2 linked regions of the Sus scrofa genome follow. The protein of the gene in region 2 purifies or fractionates together with the protein of the main gene of each other region. This does not show direct contact. Links are inferred from orthologs where the notes say so. Each region holds a gene or a part of one and is shown on either strand. Other genes may lie near its edges.

The links.
Region 1: the proteins of ATP11A (region 2) and TMEM30A purify together in Homo sapiens (co-immunoprecipitation; 4 studies listed by BioGRID and IntAct, with this or other methods). This does not show direct contact. The link is inferred for Sus scrofa from reciprocal best matches to the Homo sapiens genes ATP11A and TMEM30A.

The regions. Positions count from the first base shown.
Region 1 is NC_010443.5:90,649,107-90,652,912, reverse strand, and holds part of TMEM30A (cell cycle control protein 50A), read right to left. Parts: 5' UTR 2,457-3,806; coding exon 2,160-2,456; exon of another isoform or gene 1,891-2,159; coding exon of another isoform or gene 1,654-1,890; intron 1-1,653. UniProt on the Homo sapiens protein: Accessory component of a P4-ATPase flippase complex which catalyzes the hydrolysis of ATP coupled to the transport of aminophospholipids from the outer to the inner leaflet of various membranes and ensures the maintenance of asymmetric distribution of phospholipids.
Region 2 is NC_010453.5:78,292,038-78,296,573, reverse strand, and holds the start of ATP11A (probable phospholipid-transporting ATPase IH), read right to left. Parts: upstream 2,861-4,536; 5' UTR 2,752-2,860; coding exon 2,713-2,751; intron 1-2,712. UniProt on the Homo sapiens protein: Catalytic component of a P4-ATPase flippase complex which catalyzes the hydrolysis of ATP coupled to the transport of aminophospholipids, phosphatidylserines (PS) and phosphatidylethanolamines (PE), from the outer to the inner leaflet of the plasma membrane.

The sequences.
Region 1 (3,806 bases), on a different chromosome or scaffold from region 2:
CTGCAATAAGAATCTTAGCATAGTGTGAAAGCCTAAGACTGGAAATCAAGACAACTAGGTCTGGTTTCTGTCTCAATTTTACAATATTCTTCTAGTTTACTAATAAGTATCAACCCCTCTGACTTCATTTCTCATTTCCTGAATAAAAATAACTACTGTACAAACGTAGTGCCAGGAATATTATCTGTATTGTTTCTAATTTTTACATTTCACAAGATAGGCATTATTTACTTATTTTACAGGTGAGGAAACTGAGGCTCAAAGAGACCAGGTTTTCCAAGAAACTGAGCTAGTAAGTGGCTGAGCTAGAATTTAAACCCATCTCTGTCTGACTCCTGCCTAGAGCCCACCCTCCTTGCATTACACCACTCTGCTCACATTCTGGTACGTGTGGTCCTGCATGGTTGGGAGAACAGAAAGTACTACATGTGAAAGACTACTGAGGAAATAAAAAAGATAAAACAAAAATACATGCTGAAAAAACCAATGTGATGCTTTCTCTAGTTATTAAACGGAAAGAATTTTTTTAGGAAAAGATTTAAAAACTATCCTGTAAATACTATTCTTATTTCTATTAACACAGCAATGAGCACTGTACAATTTAAAAAATATAATGATTTTGCTTTTACAGGTAACCTTGTAAATTAAACTGGAAAGTATGCCTATTCCTGTAGCCGAAATAAAATTGCTCTGAAAGCCCTATTAAATAGCATGCATAAATTTTAAAGTAGTTAATGAATTAGAGGGTAAAAGACATAATCTGATAGAACAGAAGAAATCAAGAGATCTTTGTAGCAGTTCTTCCCCTTTCAAGCAGATAAAAATACTCTCAGATATTCAAAAAAAGATAATGAGCAGATGTTTAATGCCGGACACCAAAGTACCAACATTCTGTATCAACCTATGTTCCTTGCAAAGGGATAAAGATGACTTTCTCTGACACAAGATGCTTCCCCAAGTTTATCATGTCTTATGTCTGTAAAATGTTCAGTCGACACCTCACAAGTTATTCTGTATGTGGTCATTGATTTTTTTCTTTTTTAAGCTTAAAATCTAAGGGCGGGGGTGGGGAACTAGGGCGAATGTAAGGCAAGGTTATTAATCAACGTAGCCTAAAAGCAAAATCCGAACTGAAATTTCGGATTACCTTTTACCGGTATCATGCCCTACAACTAAAAGCATCTATTAGATCAAAATTAAAGGTACTGTACACACTTCGGCCATAGACCCTAACACGTGATCTGGTAACACGACTTCTGTACATAAATTCGGCAATGACTCTTTGACCCTGGACCTTCCCAAGGCAAAAGCCAAGGTCCTGGGCTAAGTAAAGGCTCTGCGTCTAGGGATAATTCCCGCACAGGTAATGATACTCTGACCGTGCCAATCCTCCTGGGGCTTTATCTCCCTCTAACTTCTCTTTTTTTCGTCTCGGCTGGAGGTAAAAACCACACCAACCGCCCATGAAAGGGGCGTTCTTCCCCGGACCCACACCCTGCACTACACACTCACTCTCTCCAACCGGGTAAACAGTGGAGCAAGCGCGGGCAAAAGCGCGAAAGGAGAAAACCGGGGAGGCGGCGGCCCCGGGGGGAGAGCCCCGGGTCAGAGAGGGAGAGGCGCCTGCCTTTGGCCGCGCCCTCCCCCGCTCACCTCGATCTCGCGGATGTTGTTGGAGGTGACAAAGATCCCGATGCCGATAGGGATGAAGATGAGGCCAATGATGAAAAAGGTGGGCAGCACCGTGCCGGCCGTAAGGATGGGCTGCCAGGCTGGCAGCCGTTGCTGCTTGAAGGCCGTGTTATCCGGCCTCCGGTTCTTAGCGGTGCCCCCCGCGGCACACGGGGGCCCGCCGTCCACCTCGTCCTTCGCGTTATAGTTCATCGCCATCGACCCCCAGGGCGCGGCCCCGCGACGCGCAGGTGGACCGCCCAGGGGACCCGCCTGCCAACCCCAACCCGAGACGCGCAGGCGCCGCCGCCACCTCCGCTGCGAAGGCGGAAGAGGCGGGACACCCTTCCGCAGACTGCCTCTGACCGGAAGCGGGCGTCGACCGGGTACGCCGCCGGGAGGGAGACAGGACTGGGGAAGAAGACTGAGGGACAAGGGGAGGGGGAAGGGAAGGAGGATGGAAGGGGGGAGGGAAAAGGCCGACGCACCCGGACCATCTGCCCTGTGACGACAAAGTGAGGGCCTCGACCGCAGAGCGTGAGACTACGTTGGCGCATGCGCGGCGCTGGGGCGAGCGCAGGGAGCGGGTGGCCTCGGCGCTTGCCCCACAGGCGCGTCCTCGCTGCCTCGCGAGAGCTTCTATTCGCGCATCTCTGCTGCCGGGTGGACGTCATGACGGCCGCCGCCTTGGTCAGGTCCGACCCCGGGCGGGGCCAGCCGGTCAGCCCAGGAGACTGGGCTTGGGCGCAGACCTCGAAGCCTTCTCCATCGGGGGGTCGGGGCATTGAAAAGACCCCACCGAGGGAGCCTGAGCCTCGTGCGAGTGGCAGTATTGGCTTGAGGTGGAAAACCGCGACTTTCTCCAATTAAAAAAATAACCCTCCGCTCAAGGTGCAAATAAGTGTTAAATGGGATGTATGATGGATTAACCTTTAGTCCTCAAGAGTAAATCATGTCACTGGGTTAACCCTGTTCGCTTGCCCTCAGTTGAGCTGTTCTCACTTATTTCTTTACTATTAATGGTCGCCAGGTTACTGTGTACCAGCCTTTTTGTGTCCACGCTTATCTTTTGCACGTTGATTTAAGAGGTTGTTTTTGTTTGGTTTTTTTTGAGGGGGGCGGGGGGAGGTTGGCCATTCTAGCGGCAGATGGAAGTTTTTCGGCTAGGAATCAAACCCAGCCCACAGCAGTGACAAGTCAGGATCCTTAATCTTCTGAGCCACCAGAGAACTCCCAAGAGCTCTCTTCCCCCTCCTGCCCCCGCTATAGTTCCGAGTATAACATTGTATGTTTCGGGTATACTACATAGCGAATCACAATTTTTAAAGGTTATGTTTATATTTAGAAAATGTTAGGTATATTCCCTGTGCTGTGCAATATAGTCCTGTAGCTAATTTTACACATAGTAGTTTGTACCTTTTAATCACCTACGGCTACCTTGTCCCTCACCCACTGATAACTACTAGTTCTCTATATCTGCGAGTCTGCTTTTTTGTTATATGCACTAGTTTTATGTTTTAGATTCCACATATAAGTGATGTTATACAGTATTTGTCATTCTCTAACATATTTAGTAAGATACCCTCCAAGTCCATATTGTTGCAAGTGGCAAAATTTCATTCCTTTTTAATAGCTGAGTAGTAGTCCATCCTGTGTGTGTGTGTACTCCTCTTCTTTATCCATTTATCTATTGATGGACACTTAGGTTGCTTCCATGTCTTTGTTATAAATAATGTTATCATGAACATGGAGGTATAGATATATGTCTTCAAGATAGTTATTTCATTTTCTTTGGATATATATCCAGAAGTGAAATTCCTTGATCATATATATATGGTGGTCCTACTTTTAATGTTTTGAGAAACCTCCATACTGCTTTCCAAAGTGGGTTCACCAATTTACAATTCCATTAACAGTGCACAGGTGTCCCCTTTTCTTCATATCCTTGCCAACACTTGTTATTTGTGGTCTTTTTGATGATAGTCATTCTTAAAGATGTGAAGTGATATCTCATTGGTTTTGATTTGCATTTTTCGTGATGATTGGTGATGTTGAGCATCTTTCATTTGCCTGTTGTTCACCTGTATGTCTTTTCTGGAAAAATGTCTTTTCAGGTCTTTAAGAAGTCTTTTGTA
Region 2 (4,536 bases):
TGGACCCACTCAGCGAGGCCAGGGATTGAACCCACATCCTACAGACACTGGTCGGATTCGCTTCCGATGAGCCATGAGGAAAACTCCTGAAGATGTTTATTTTTTAAATTTTTATTAAAGCACAGTTGATTTAGAACGTTGTGCCAATTCTGCTGTACAGCAAAGTGACCCAGTCATGCACATATATACAATCTCTTTTAACACATATTATCTCCCATCATGGTCCATCCCCGGAGGTTGGATATAGGTCCCTGTGCTGGACAGCAGGACCTTACTGTCCATCCATTCTAAAATTTATTCACTTTTATAAAAGAAGAAGAAACCACAAGAAAATATAAACAGTCGATCCCTGTCTTTTTTCCCCCATAGCAAAAGGATATATAATTAATTCCTACCTAAAGAAAGATAATCAAATTATAAGAAAACAGACAACTGTTTCTAGAAAAAGTGCAATTAGTTTGACAGTGTAGACATGAGTTAATATAGAAATGAGTGGTTTTGCCTGCGCATATGGCGAAGCAGCCATATGATCAGATTGCTTTTAAAAAAAAAGATATGGAAGGAGAAAAACAGAAATAATCCCGTAACTGGATTCTAGAGGCGTCACCGAATAACTCACACACTGGTAAAGTTCACCAAAGAATAGTTATCAGTTAGGTTTGAAAGAGTATTTGATTTCATGTGTCTAATGTCATAGCAAAGGGGCATTTTATTTTATTTTGCCTTTTTTTTTTTTTTTTTTTTTTTTTAAGGGCTTCACCCAAGGCATATGGAGGTTCCCAGGCTAGGGGTCTATAATCGGAGCTACAGCTGCCGGCCTACACCGCAGCCACACCAAGGTGGGATCCGAGCCGCATCTGCGATCTACACCACAGCTCATGGCAACGCCAGATCCTCAACCCACTGATCGAGGCCAGGGATCGAACCCGCAACCTCATGGTTCCTCATCAGATTGGTTTCTGCTGCACCACAGGGCAACTCCTAAAGGGGCATTTTATTTTATTTTATTTTTTGTCTTTTTGCCTTTTCTAGGGCCGCTTCCCATGGCATATGGAGGTTCCCAGGCTAGGGGTCTCATCGGAGCTGGAGCCGCCAGCCTACACCAGAGCCACAGCCATGCAGGATCCGAGCCGCGTCTGCAACCTACACCACAGCTCATGGCAAACGCCAGATCCTTAACCCAGAGCAAGGCCTGGGATCAAACCCACAACCTGATGGTTCCTCATCAGATTTGTTTCTGCCGCACCACAGGGGAACTCCTAAAGGGGCATTTTAAAGTGTAAGGCACACTGACGTTTCTGCGGATTGGTGCAGCACGGGCGGCTGCTGGTCTGGAGGGGGTAAGGGAGTCAAAGCACCGCAATGGGCAGTGTGTCTGGCCCACCCCCAGGGGGGACGGGGTCTGGGAGGGTCGAGGAGGTCCACCCGGCCCTCCGCATTGCCGCTCACGGCTCAACTCGCCTTTTCATCCCCAAGCGTTGGAAGAGAAGAGAAATTACACTAGCAAGCACAGCCTAGGGGAACGCTGGTCCCACCCTCCAGCCAAACCGCTGAGAACACCCCTGGGACCAAACATGTCTCATACACATCCCGTTACCTACTGCGGCTGGGTTTTCCAGAATGTGTTCCTCTAGAGGCACCAGGGTGGCACCTGCTGTCTACACTACATTGTAATATGGACTCAAGAGTCCATGGGGACACCTTTCCTGCAGGCAGCCTTCCCACCCCTTCCCAGAATCAGAGAGGAGTTCGCTCCCCCAACTGCAACAGGCTGTCCTTCCCAAGGGAGCTCCGAGAAGGTGCCACAAGCTCCTGGCGTCTGGCTGGAGAGTGGACTCGCTGGGGAGAACTTTGATTCAAGTTCCCAGGGCTGAACAGAAACGCCTTCTCTCTGGCCAAGGTCTCTTTCTCAAAGAAAGCTCATCAATATGGGAGACCAGTTTGAGGCGTTCCTAAGCCAGAAAAAGCCAAGCTCCCATAACCGTGCCCTCTTCCAGCGGAAACCTCGGTGGGCGCGGCTTCCCCAACCTGTGCCCGACGGCGGTCCGCGCGGGGACGGAGGGGCCCTTTGTTAAAGACACGGACGCTTTCCTTCTCCTGCGCCCCCCCCCCCCCCACACATCTGATGCCAGCGTCGCTGCCCCACGCAGTCCCCCTTGGTCTGATGTGAGTCAAAACCAACTTTCCCTCCACGCCTCCACCCTACCCGACCTCGCCAAGGATCACCCGGAGCGAGGATTCCGAGGAACTCCGAACACCCGGGCCCTGGATCTGATTGGTTACTTTCGGGCAAAAAATGTCCCAAACTTCACTTCCGAATCCCCCATCGCTGTGACAAAACGAGCAAAGCCACCGCCTTTCCCTGTATCGGGTCTCTCTTCCAGTCCCTTAATCCGGGTGCCCACTCGGCAGCATCAAGCATTCCTCCCCAGCCCGGGCCCGGACTCGCCGGGACAGCCCCCGGCCCGGCTCCGGGGAGGCACGCGGCCCGGGAGCCGGCGGGAGGGCGCCCGCGCCGTCGGGGCCCGAGGTGCCGACTCCGCAGGTCCTCCCGCGTCCCGCCGTCCCCGGGCGCGGTGACCCCCGCGAGGCCGCCCGAGCCCTCAGCGACCCCGGGCGGGAGGCCGCAGCAGGGTCGGGGGCGGAGGACCCGTCCCGCCCGGCCCCGGCCCGGCCCGGCCCCGGCCCCAACCCCGCGCGGGCAGCACTCACGTATCTGTGCACGAGCGTCCGCACGAGGCTGCAGTCCATGGCTCCTCCGGCCGCGCCCGCCCGCTCAGCGCCCCCAAGCCCGGCTCGGCGCGCCCATGGGCCCGGGCCCGAGTGCGGCCGCGCGCCCCGCCCCGGTCACGGCCTGGGCGCGCCGGGCGGTGCGGGGGGCGGCCGCGGCCCCTCCGCGCTCATGCCCGGCCCGGCCCGCGGCGGCCGGCGAGGGGTGGCCGCTCGGCGGGCGGCCGCTCGGTGGCCGGAGCCCGCGCGCCGCGGCTGGGGCGATGGGGCTGCGGCTGGGCGCGCGGCGGCCGGCCGATCCCGCCGCTGCTCGGCTCCGCGCTCCGGCTCCTCTGCTCTCCTGCGCTCCGCTCTCCGCTCTGCTCTCCTCCCGGCCTCCGCCCGCCGCCCCTCTCAGCCCGGCCTCCGGCCCCGGTCCCGGCGCGCACGTCACGAGCGCGAGTGAGCATGCGCCCCGCCGCCCGGCCCCCGCCCCGCTCCCGCGCCCTCGCAGACTCCGGCCCGCGCGCCCGGCCCTCCCCGAGGCCCGCCCCCGCAGCCCGGGCGCCCGGGGCCCTGGGGCGGAGGGCGGAGGGCGGGGGGCCCGCGGGCGGGGAACGGCTTCCTGTTGCTTCCGCCTCCCGGGCGGGGATGCGCGCCAGACACCTGGGGCCCGGAGGGCGGGGAGCCGGCGCCTGGCACCGGGTCCGTCCGGGGCGCAGGCACGCGGGCCTCAAACTTCCATCCACCCCGGAAGGCCCGAGGGCGGCGCGGGGAGTCGGGGAGGGGGCGGGGGAGCGGGGGAGGGTTGGGCCCGAGACCGGCTGAATCGGGTCTGTGTCTCCCCAGTGCCAGGCCGGCCCCACGCGAGGCCCCTCCTGCTCTGCAGGTGACAGAGGCGGAGGCGGGCCTCAAGTGGCTGCCCAGGGTCGCGCGGCTTCTCCGCGCCGCAGGGAAGATGGGCGCAGGGTCCCCCACCTGGGATCCTTGCTTCTTTCTGAAATCCCACAGGCGCCCGAGCCCTGGGCCCCTGGCCCTTTGGACTCCAGAGCTGTGACAGTCGCAGGCACTCGTTATCCGGCGGGGGTGAGGGGTAGAAATCAGCCTCGAACCTGTTAGTCCAGCCTCCAGCCCCACAGGCCACGCTGCCTGTTGCTGTCGGGCCGGTCCAGCTCCTGCCTCCGCCGCTAGCTCCGCCGAGAGGGAGCTCTGGGCCCCGGGGCGCGCGCCTGTGCAGCTCTCTGGGCATCAGGCATCAGGCGGGGAGAGCGTTTCTGTCAGGCAGACGCCTGGGTTCAATGCGGGGAATGTTTCCGCTTTCCCAGCATGAAGCAAACTATCTCTTCTCAACCCCGGCCCGCCCTGTACCGGTGCACTTTGTTTCCAACTTCCGTTCTTGGGGCCAAGGGCCACCACTTGTGAAACCCGAGGGGCCTGACAAGGCCTTTGGCGACCGATCCGATCCGGGCCTTGCCGGAACGCACCTGAGTGTTCTTCTGGCTGCTTTTCGGGAAGAAGCACGGGCACTTGGGGTTAGACGCGGAGACTAGGAAGGAGCACTAGTGAATAATCGGGTAATCAGGCCCAAACCATCCCGACGCTGACGTGCTTTTCTGCGGAAAATGCTCCAGTTTGGGGTCAGCTAACTCAATGATTCTCCACTTTCCTTCCAAATCTACTCTCTCCTGCTTTGTGTCTAGGAGGCCCAAGGCCCCCCTGGGGGATCTGCACCAACAGAGGTGCCCGCTGCCAACTGGAGACCAGGAGAGAGATGGGGCCTTCCTTCCCTCCACCACGCCCTGGCCTCACCTTCGCCTGGCAGTGTCT